2 linked regions of the Schizosaccharomyces pombe genome follow. Changing the gene in region 1 together with any one later gene gives a genetic interaction. Each region holds a gene or a part of one and is shown on either strand. Other genes may lie near its edges.

Region 1 (6,782 bases):
GATGTAATTATACCTGAAGAAGAGTATCATACTGACACATTTAATGTTGTAAAAGAAAGCAATGATAAACCTAAGGAGAATTTAGTTACAAGCGAAGAATGCAAAGCTTCTTTTTTCTCAACTGATAGCGTGAACAAAGATTCCACAATTGATTACGATGCTTTACAGAAAGATCCTTTGACTTACGTGAAAAGTTGTCGAGCCCGATTTGTTTCAAAAGATACAAAAAGCTTCAGTTACTCATCACTTGCTAACACCTTTTCCTTAATTAGTTCTACCAAATCCAGGATACGCATTGTCACATTATTAACCAATTTCCTTCTCACACTTCTGTATGCAGATCCTGATTCCTTAATTGCAACAGTTTGGTTATGTACCAATTCTATTGCCCCCAACTTTTATGGAAAAAACCTTGGTGTCGGACCTGCAATGTACTCTAAAGCTTTGAAAGAAGTTTGTGGCATTACAGCAAGTGCTTTGAAAAATTTATGGAACAAATATGGCGATCCAGGAGATGTAGCGTTCGAAGCTAAAGTGTCTGTGCGCACGTTAAGCAGACCAGAACCTTTGACTATTAAGAAGGTTTATTCTACTTTACTAAAGATTGCTGACAGTAACGGTAATGGTGCCCAGAACCGTAAATTAGAGTTAACTAAATTTTTATTGATAAGTTCTAATGCTGAGGAGGTTCGATATATAGGGAGGAGTATAATGCAAAATCTAAGAATAGGGGCTGTTCAAAACACCATGTTAGCTTCACTAAGCAAAGCTTTTTTTATTTTTGACAATCAAAACGAAATATTTAATTTTAATTCTGACTCACTTCAACAACAATTTCGTCAAGGAGAAGAGATTGTTAAACAAAGTTTCTTTCAGGTCCCTGATTATAACATTTTGGTTGCAACCCTTCTTCGAGAGGGGATAGAAAACTTAAAAGACAATATGTCTATTCGCCCTGGAATCCCAGTAAAACCTATGCTTGGTTCTATCACAAAGAATTTGCAGCATATGTTAGAAAGATTGACTGATCATAACTTCTCTTGTGAGTTCAAGTACGATGGACAAAGAGCACAAATTCATTGCGATAGACTTGGAAACATTAAGATATTTAGCCGCCATTTGGAGGAAATTACAGGAAGATTTCCGGATGTCATTGAAGTTGCTCAATTAGCATTGAAACATTCATGTGATTTTATTATAGAAGGCGAATTGGTGGCTATTGACAAAAGTAATGGTCAGATACTGGATTTTCAAAAACTTTCAACTAGAGAAAGAAAAAAAGTTACAGTGGCTGATATTACAATAGACGTGTGTGTTTTTGTTTTTGATATTATGTTTTGTGATGGGAAATCTTGCTTACAAATGCCTTTAATTGAAAGAAGAAGAATGTTTTTTGAGCATTTTAATTTAATTCCAAATCGCTTTCAGTTCGTGTCTTCTTTGGAAACAAATGAGGAGCAATCCATTCAAGAATTTTTTAGTCTTGCAATTACTAATAAATGCGAAGGATTAATGGTGAAGGTACTGAATGGAACAAACTCAAAGTTTCCTTCAACGTATGAACCTGATAAAAGAGGTGAGGGATGGATTAAAGTCAAACAGGATTATGATGATGAATTTGAGTCATTGGATCTTGTTCCCATAGGCGCTTGGTACGGTAATGGAAGAAAAGCCGGATGGTTCAGTCCAATTTTGCTTGCTGTTTACAATCCAGACACTGGCGCGTATGAAGCAGTCTGTAAATGCATGTCCGGTTTTAGTGACCAATTTTATAAGGAATTAACACAAAAGTATTCCTTAGAATCTGGCAATAGCAGTCTTAAACCCATATATAATTTTTGCGAAACAGGTAAGGTAACTCCACAAATATACTTTGCCCCTCAAGAAGTTTGGGAAATTAAGGGTGCTCAAATAACATCCTCACCTGCATACAAGGCGGCTTTGGGATTAATTCAGGATGATCGCGGTTTATCAATTCGATTCCCACGCTTCATTAGAGTTCGGTCAGACAAAGGACCAGAGGACGCATCCACGAATTCAATATTGGCTGACATGTATATGAAACAACTTAATACTTGATGTTCGTGATGAACTCAAAATGTCAAGGAACATCGTTGATTGTATATTAAATAAATATTATTAAAGGTATGGCAACAAATATATCAATCATCAGTCCTCAAAATCCGATATTGAACCAATATACGCATGCCAAAGATATGTATAGGCTATCGGACAAATAGATGGCTTCTTCTTTTTAGAAATTCTAAAAGTGTTTTGATCGCCACTCTGTAATTTGAATTGATGAGGATCTTCTGGTTTGTCACAAGTTGCTATTCTTTTTGCTAGACGCATATACTCTGGCACAGTTAAATCAGGCATATTATATGGAGAGTCCTTCGAAGTATATAGCAATTCATAAGAAATTTCGGTATCTTTCGTTGCATCCATGTAATTTGACGTGTTTAAGAAATACTGCTTAAATGAAATAGGAGTAAAAAGTGACGGAACGTATGCCGGTCCCAAAGGACCGGGCTTAATATTCTTCCTCTTGTTCTTCTTCTTTTTTTTATTATTCTTCTTTTTTTTCTTCTTTTTCTTGTCTATCTCATAATCTGATTGAGACTGCTCTTCAAGCGTTTCCCAGTTAAAAGAAGTGATTTCAGTTAGCTCTTCCCGATCATCCAGCTGATTAGCAATATCAGAAATATTGTACTCGTAAACGCGAAAAGTTGGAAACATTTCAGGTATAATCGAACCACCAACGGTAGCCAAGGAGTAATTCCCGACGGTTCCATTAAGAAACTCCTCTGTTAAATTCTCGGGAAATGTAGGAAGCTCCGCGTATTGGGCATCAATTAAAGATTTTACATATTTTGGTTGCGCACTTTTGATTCCATAAGATTCTGTATCAACAGGTAACTTATCGAATTCCAAAAACACAAAATGGTTTATGTTCATATGACCATAGAGTTGTCCAACTATAATATCTCGAAACTCATAAAGCAAATCCGTAAAAGAAGTATAACAATCTTCATACCACTGGCCCCTTGTAGGGGGAATATGTCCTAGAAGCCAAACTTTCATTCCCTTTAGCCGATACGCTTCAAGCTGTATTTTGAACCATCGCATAAAAAGAGAACCAGGTTCGTCTAGATTATCATCAGGACAACCATCGACCGCGGCATTTTTGTTTGATAGGTAAAGAGTGTTAATGGAAATTGCTGCTAGCTTGTCCGGAATCACATCACATAGGTAATAAGAGCCCTTTTCAAAAGTGTGTCGTTCCTCATAAGGAATTAAAGCATCCCAAGCACCAGCTAGTTGTCGAGTCATTGAAGATGGACCAGCTTCCATAATGTTATGAGGATATATATCATTATTCCCGATAGCGGAAACAATTGGAACGTCAGGAAACGCCTCTATCATTTTATTAACCAAGTCCTCATTTGAAGCAAGAATTTCACTTTGTGTTCTTGGAAAATGGTTATCATTGTCATGCCTAGAATTATCACCAGTCCACAGTATGAAGTCAATGCCTCCCAGAACATCATCTTGATGTTCCTTAAGCCATTCCAATGTCTTATCAATTAATGCTGGTGAAGAATCACATTCATAACCAGGACCAGGAGAGAGGTAACCCACTTTGCTTTTACCCAAGGGAGTATCGTCAGAATTATGATCATAGGAATGACAATAATGATCGACGGTGGATCCTTTTTCGTAATAAATGTCAGGATGCATATCGGTGATATGCAAAAATCTACCAACAAGTGGTTTTCCTTTGCTATTAACTAAATCATTTGTATGCGCTTTATTTCGCATACTCATAGGGTTGCCAAATGCAAAAGAAGCCCATGTCGACTGTACAAAAAGAACAGCAACCGTGATTACAGAGGGACGCATTCTAAAAAGAAGGAAATCGGTATATAAAAGAAAAAAAAACTTTACCTAAGTAGAAAAAAAGAGGACACTTCAGACTAGGACGAAATTTTCCAAAATCTGTAATACAATTTCCCAGGCAATTTCAAAAACAAAAAATGGTGTTTGAAAGATTCAAGGGCTTTTGAACTCAGTACAACTTAAATAAATCAAAATTTCCCAGTAGCCGTTAATGAAATAAGTATTGTTAATCTGTTTGACAAAAAGATCGATCTAAATTAAGATCACGAGCGGGTAGTCATGAACCGAAGTCCTGCAGAGTCAATAGAAGTTGCTTCTGAGCTTTGCAAACCCCAGAGAACACTTAATTTGGGTTTGGACTATTCGATGCTCGTAATGGAAGCAGTTAAAAGATCCGTGATACTCTTCCCTAGTGAAGACGAATGTTGTGTTCACCGCTATATATGTATGATGAAAGATGTCGCATTTTATATTTTGTCAGAGCTTGCATTACGGTATTAGTTACTAACTTAATTTCGTTAAATGAATAAGGAGGAAAGTGTTTTGCTCATTAACCATTGTCCTGACGCCTTAAAGCGTTGACAGCATCTAAGAACGGGACACTCGTAATTTTGATTGGGAATAAAGTATCCTTCCACATATACTTGCCCCATCAACTCAGTTGATTCTTAATAATAGAATTTACGCCAAAAATATTATTCGTGCAATTGCTTTGAAAGTTGATATAAAAACTTCTCTAAAGGAGTTATTTGAAAATTGTGTTGATTACCGGTTGGTTCGTTTCGTTATAGTATTTGTTGGACAAGCAGGATGGAGAAAAATACAGTTACAGTTCCAAAAACCTTGTTTTCACAAGTTATTCATATTTTCAAGTATGCGGCAATTAATTTGGGCCTTCCTTTCTTGAATGGAGTTATGTTGGGATTCGGGGAGATCTTTGCTCATGCATTTATCCACTCTCTTGGTTGGGCTCCAGGTCATACTAGGATTTATTCTATTCAAAGACATCAGTATATTCAAGCCTAAAATGAAGCATAGCTGTGCGAGGAAATTTATCTTTAATATTTGAGGGAAATGGTGTTTGCTTATTCGTGATTTTTTTATTTTTTCATTTTAAGCTGAGGCGAGTATTCATAAAATTTGAGATACTCGAATGCTTAACTCATGTTTCTCTCAGATGTATTATGGTTTCAGCTTTGCACTCTCTTTAATGATCGTTTTCTTTAGTTTTATTGTTTTTATTTTCTTTTCCCACAATATTAAGAGCTTCTTTGGCACAATGCAAAGAATATATATGCTCAAGGGATGGAAAACGAATTAAGCCCAAATGAATTGTGTTTATATTTGCAAAATAACATTTAATTTCCTTTGCATTTAATTTATTTATGATCGTTTTCCTTGAGCTTCCTTCTTCTGTTTTTTAAGTATAATTACTTTTGATTTTATTTATGCCCTTTATATTAACATTATGTGACACGTTATACATCGCTTCTTCGGACCGACAAATTGATTTGAGTAGCATAGTATAGAAAAAGGTGTCAACGAAGATTTATATGAGCTGTGAGACAAGTATCGAAGCTATCATCATTGTTTAAAATTGTTCATTATTTTTACATTACTTTGATTTGAATGACAGTACTACGCTTTTTGTTGTTTTCCTCATCACATCGCTTTTTTAAATAATTGTTATTGTATTCGAACAACGATAGTGCTCTAACTTAATGACTAAAACACGCTTATTTGTAAAGGCGTGTAAGTATTACTATTCTCAGAGCAACAAATCTCAACTGATTATAAATTGATTGCACAGCCCATTGATTCATTAGAATTTTACAGGTTATTTCTGTCGTTGCTCAAGCTTTGAAAAATATACTTTTGAATGATTCTTAAAACTTACATTATCGCATGCTTGGTACACTCGGTTGGCTTTAATGATGTTATAAGACAATTTCAAGTTTGATGATACAAAAAAGGATTCTGATCCTCGAACTGAATCTTCTTGTTTATGCATAAAAAGCAGATACCGACTACTTAAAGTCAGCAAATCTGAAAAAATAAATTATCATTAAATTTTTGTCAAATTTACGAATACTGACTTCACAATTTGCTATATAAACTTGAAGATTTATTGCATTAGCCAACAAGAATACTATATTTCTATTTTCTTCCAAGATGTAGCATGGACAAACCTAAACAGTAGTCGTTCTATATTTTATAGCTATTTAAATAATTAACTATATTACCCATCGCACAGAATTACATAGCATATTATTTAAATCTTGGATATACGCTCTACAAGCATTGCTATACACTTTCAGTGGTTTTTAAAAACATGTATTAACAGGATTCCAAGCAAACTTTAGTACGCATCCAACACAAATAGGAAGTCTACGATCACACAAATTACAGCGATATAGAATTTCGCGAAAAGAATAAACCATTAACTCAAGTAATTTCAAAAGGTTCTTTGTTAACGAATCTGTTTTAAATGTAATAATAAATTTTAATCTATAGCAAATATGTGGACCTTCTGACACTCGCGTACAAGTAGGTTATCTTGTTAGCAAGCTCTTAAAAGATCCATTCATTTATATACGCTCAGTGAATAGCAAATACGAATGCATAGCAAAATACCATGCGGGTAAAAAACCTTCCTATTCGCACTGTCTTGAGCGAGTACGGTAATGTAAAGTGACCATAATACCACTTTATATAGCAAAAAAATACTGTTACTTCAATAGTGACTATGAAAAAAAGCAGTCGCTAGATGAACTAAGTCACAATAATATATTGATCGATTAAAAACTCATTAGTATAGGCATAGTCAAAGCTAGTTGAGTCTTTTAATAAACCGGATTATTTAATCCGTTTGAAGTTGTAAA
Region 2 (4,709 bases), 780 kb from region 1:
AAACATGGAAAGGCTTTGCTTGCGACACCCTGATAGACAGGAATTTTTTATACAGATGTAATGACAAACAATATGCTTTAAGCAGCAACTTAATTGTAGTTTAAAATCATATAGAAATACTTAAAATCAATGAGGGTTTGCACTTCAGGATAATGGTAAATGAAAATCACACTTCACGAAAATAAAACGCGTAAACCGTTAATCTTCAAAACTAAATAATACCGCTCAAATTACGCTGTTTTTCCGCTAATGTTCATAAGGGAAATGTTTGAATTCCGTAAAACTGTTAAGGATGCGCAGGGTGATGGTAAAAGATTTGATAGTATATGTTTATTTTGCAGAAATATTCGCCTTGACTATATACAAAGTACTTTTATAAACTAAATAGTGTTAGAAAAGTATAAAGAGAAGCTTCGATAGAAAATTATTTCAAGGTTAAAATGAATAACTCGTTGCATCAAATTAGTTTGAGGTGAAAGGAAGGATATGATTCGTAGAACTGCTAATTCTTCCTGAGAATGGTAAATGAACGGAAAGCGATTTTTGCAGTTTGAACACGATTTGATACATGAGAGCAATACAGTAATATTGTATATACAGATGGAGATAAGATTTGGTTGCGATTTAAATGGCAATGAAATAAAGATCTAATAAGATAACCATTAGTAAATTCTTAGCGAACCATGCTTTCCCACCTGCTAGTAGAAGATGTTTGCAATTCAGTAAACAAAGGTTATGAAAGTCACCAGTATAGCTAAATTAACAAAGTTAGCTGATCAATAATATTGAAATCTCATTAAATTACGATGATAATCTGTCTCTTCAATGAAATAAAAACTTAACACTGTGTAGATATTACGACGGCATGCAAAGAAACTGGAAACAGAGACAAGATATAGAGTTTACTAAAGTATTCAACCTATTCAGCGAATTTTAACAAATTCTTTTTCAATTTAGTGAGTTTACTTTTCAACAATTTTACAATTCATCAGTGAACTCTATACTTTTAAATCATTTGCAGTGAATGAAAATAGATCATGGATAATACTCGTACTTCGTTTTGTCTCATGATAATTTAAATACAAAAAGTTGACTTACAGTAGATAAACGTTAATCTACATAATAAATCATTGATGCAGGTTCAAATACTTCTTTCCCCTTCCAATGAATGAAGAAATCCTTTTGTGCTTTAGCCGCACTCAAGTGAAAAAACTCAGGGAAAAGAAAATAAAACGAAGAAAATGGTGATCTTCTTGTTGACGATTTCCTTGGCAAATTAATAAAACTATGCAAAGCGATTTATTAGTTACATGTATACACTAAGGCCATTGCACTATTGGACACGAGGGATCAACATGCCTTGCCTTTTTGGCAATACAATCACATTGCACTCTTTATGAATGTCGTCTACACAATATAAACATATTAACGATTTGCATTGAAATGTCATGTTATGATCAAATTATAATCTTATGCATGCCGCTTCAGATAATGGCTGGTAAAAATTATTATAAAGAGTTATTTGTTTAATAAATAACAATGCAAGAATTAATTACAACACACTGAGACAAGAATTCTCTGTTTATTTTTATAAATTTTTTTATCTATAAAAGAAGTATAATCGCTTTTAAACTCTTGCTTAATGCTGCCGGTTTGATCGGTATTATAACTAATTGACCGAGAACATATGACGAATAGTGAGAATTACTGTAGCGTAACATTTACTAGCAGTAAGCTTCCTTCATAGAATTTTTCAAAAGCACAATCGTGGATTCTCCCACTTACGTGAACGGATTTTGTCTTTTAGTATAAGCCACAATTTCTGGTATCCGCATTCGCAGCCATCATTTCTCAGACATATATTTGCTTTAAGAAGACCCAGTATTTGGCTGCATTAGTATATAATCGCATTTACATGTAAAATCTTGCCTAGTCAGTAAGATTACAGAATCGTTCTTTTAGAGAGGCTGATTTCATAAGTCTGTGTATGTGCGTGTCTATATACTGAAATATATAAATACACTTATAATTAAAGCTGGTTGGCTTTTTATCCTTTCTTTGTATATCACTGCATATTTTTTGTCCATATTATAAACTCCCTATCTATCGTCTTTCGATAATAATTATTTTCATTTTAAACCGCATTTCTCATCTCTACAAAGCATTATCCCATATTTCCCTTTTTTATTCCCCTTTAACAAGATATCCTTGAGTTTGGTTATTTTTACTAGCATTTTATTTCCATTTCTGAACTTGGTGCATAGCTCACCAGATTGGCATTTTTTTATTTGATCGTGTCTCATTACTTCCCGCTCTTTTTATTCTTATCTTTTCTTTCTTTTTGATTTTTCTCGCCCTTCTTTAATTTGTTGAAATTTGATTAACTTTTATTACTTTTGCAATGGGTATTCCTGATTCCACTACAGATTCACGCCATAGTCTCTCATCTGCTGCGTTGTCCTCTGCTAGCTTTGAGAATATTTACGACCCGGCACGCAAGAACGAGTCAACTAATGATGTTATCGACAATCATACAGACACTGAAATTGATGATCACGATAATGACCATGAAAACCTTGATAGCAATAATAATAACGAAAACAATGAAGCCTTTAACGAAAAGGCTGCAGAGAAAAAGTTATTGCCTTGGTACCGACGTTACTTTATTTGGATATTAATTTTTATAGTCGCTTTAATTTGTAGTGTTCTCATTGGTGTCTTGGGTGGTGTCTTGGGACATCGTACCGCTGTACGAGATCGCCATCCTTCTTACAAAGCTAAAACATATAGCCTTGTTAAAGAATATAAAGGCACCACATTCTTCGACGGCTTTGATTTTATGAACATTACTGATCCCACCCATGGCTTCGTACAATACCTTGACCGTAACAGCAGTGCTAAGCTTGGTCTAATTAGCGCGAATAGTTCCAACGTCATTATGGCCGCCGATAGTAAGCACAATTATAGCAGTGGTCGCCCTTCTATTCGTCTTCAGAGTACCCAGTACTTTGAACATGGACTCTTTATTTTGGATCTTATACACTTGCCTTATGGTTGCGGCACATGGCCCGCATTTTGGACTCTTGGTGATGACTGGCCCAATGGTGGTGAAATTGATATCGTTGAAGGTGTCAACGTGGGTACTAGTAATCAAGTCACTTTGCATACAGGTGACGGTTGTGAAATGGAAGATATCAAGCGAGTTATGACTGGTACTGCATTACAAACTAATTGTTGGGTTGATGCTCCAAACTCGTATAATGCTGGCTGTGGTGTTGAAAATCCTAGTGGTCCTTCTTATGGTGAAGCTTTCAACAAAAATGGAGGCGGTGTATTTGTTCTTGATTGGCGTAGTGAAGGTATTCGATCGTGGTTTTTTAATCGTTCTGAAATTCCATCTGACATTACTTCTGGTTCTCCCCAACCTGCTAAATGGAGTGAACCCGTAGCTGACTTTCCAGATACCAAATGCGATATCGACAAAATGTTTTCAAAGCAAAAAATATTATTTGATTTGACATTTTGTGGTGATTGGGCAGGTTCTTCAGTTTATTCATCAGCAGGATGCCCCGGTTCGTGCAACGACTTTGTTGGTAATAATCCTCATAATTTTACTGAAGCATACTGGAATATCAAAAGCTTGGCCGTTTATCAATACTAAACCCCCTTCTTTTTTCTTTTTGATGAATTTTCTTGATTATATAGGCATAACATTAACATTGCATGCGTGATATCATCTCGATATATTGTGTGTAAATAAAATACATTTTGATTAGAACTTGAAGTAGAGAAACATTTTTTCGCATGTGTTTAGCAAAATGCGTAAAATAGTAATAAGCCTAAGTTTTGTCTGAAATTATGCGAGCTTGAATTTTTTAATAACTTGTGTTCTAATGCCATCGTTTACAAAGTAAATTTCGGTCTTAAAATTTCAATAAATTCACTACGCTAATTGATTAATAATATAGGGTTTAGGAATATTCATATAAGGTACTCTTCAGAAATATCAAAAGGTTTGGGATTCGTATATGTTGTAAAAACGTTTGTTCATTTCTGTTGCAAAATACATCTAAGGGCGGTTTAAGAAACCAACGCCAGAATAAATCACTTGCTGAGAAACAGAAGTAGCACCAGAAATTTCAGCAGGACCAGGCTCAATACCACTCTTGGAGTATCTGGTAACGACAGCATATAGGCTAGGATCATCCAAGGAATGAATAATCAAACTTGTGTCAGCTTTAGGATTAACGGTGAGCTGTTGCTTAAGAGTAGCAGAATCGCCAGTATATTCGGTATACAAAACATAGTCCTTGGCATCTGGGCCTAAGTTGTCCTTATCTAAATGACCATCAACAACCTTAAAATTCAATAGTTGCAAAGGCTCTGCCAAAGGAGCATGAGTAGAGGTCAAATAATTGGCAAAAGCAAGGAAGGGATTTGAGGTTTTGTGAGAATTCTCTAATACCTCCTTTGAATCATACAGCTCAAGACCAAAGATATAATCAGGGTTTTTAGCATCACGAGCGAAATAATAGGTTTTAGTGAAGGGTTCTGATTTCAATACATGCTCATTAACTTTACTCAAAAGGTCAAGGATCTGTACATATAGTTAGTAAAGGATTCAAGAAAAGGATAAATTCCTGAACAAAAGCAAACAACAATTACAGTAATGAGAGTAGATTTCTATTACAGCACAGAAGATTTAAACT

What was found. Genes that interact genetically often act in the same process or in processes that back each other up.
Region 2: mutations in SPOM_SPBC713.07C (region 1) and crr1 together harm fitness more than expected from each alone (negative genetic interaction), as found in Schizosaccharomyces pombe (one large-scale study listed by BioGRID).

Annotation. Positions count from the first base shown.
Region 1 is NC_003423.3:877,750-884,531, forward strand, and holds SPOM_SPBC713.07C (polyphosphatase), read right to left. Parts: upstream 4,340-6,782; 5' UTR 3,904-4,339; coding exon 2,170-3,903; 3' UTR 2,080-2,169; downstream 1-2,079. Other genes in the region: adl1 (DNA ligase), read left to right, coding at 1-2,079; MIM complex subunit Mim1, read left to right, coding at 4,711-4,926. UniProt on the Schizosaccharomyces pombe protein: Catalyzes the hydrolysis of inorganic polyphosphate (polyP) chains of many hundreds of phosphate residues into shorter lengths.
Region 2 is NC_003423.3:1,656,138-1,660,846, reverse strand, and holds crr1 (glycosyl hydrolase family Crr1), read left to right. Parts: upstream 1-1,770; 5' UTR 1,771-2,401; coding exon 2,402-3,661; 3' UTR 3,662-3,790; downstream 3,791-4,709. Other genes in the region: SPOM_SPBC21B10.08C (uncharacterized protein), read right to left, coding at 4,070-4,597.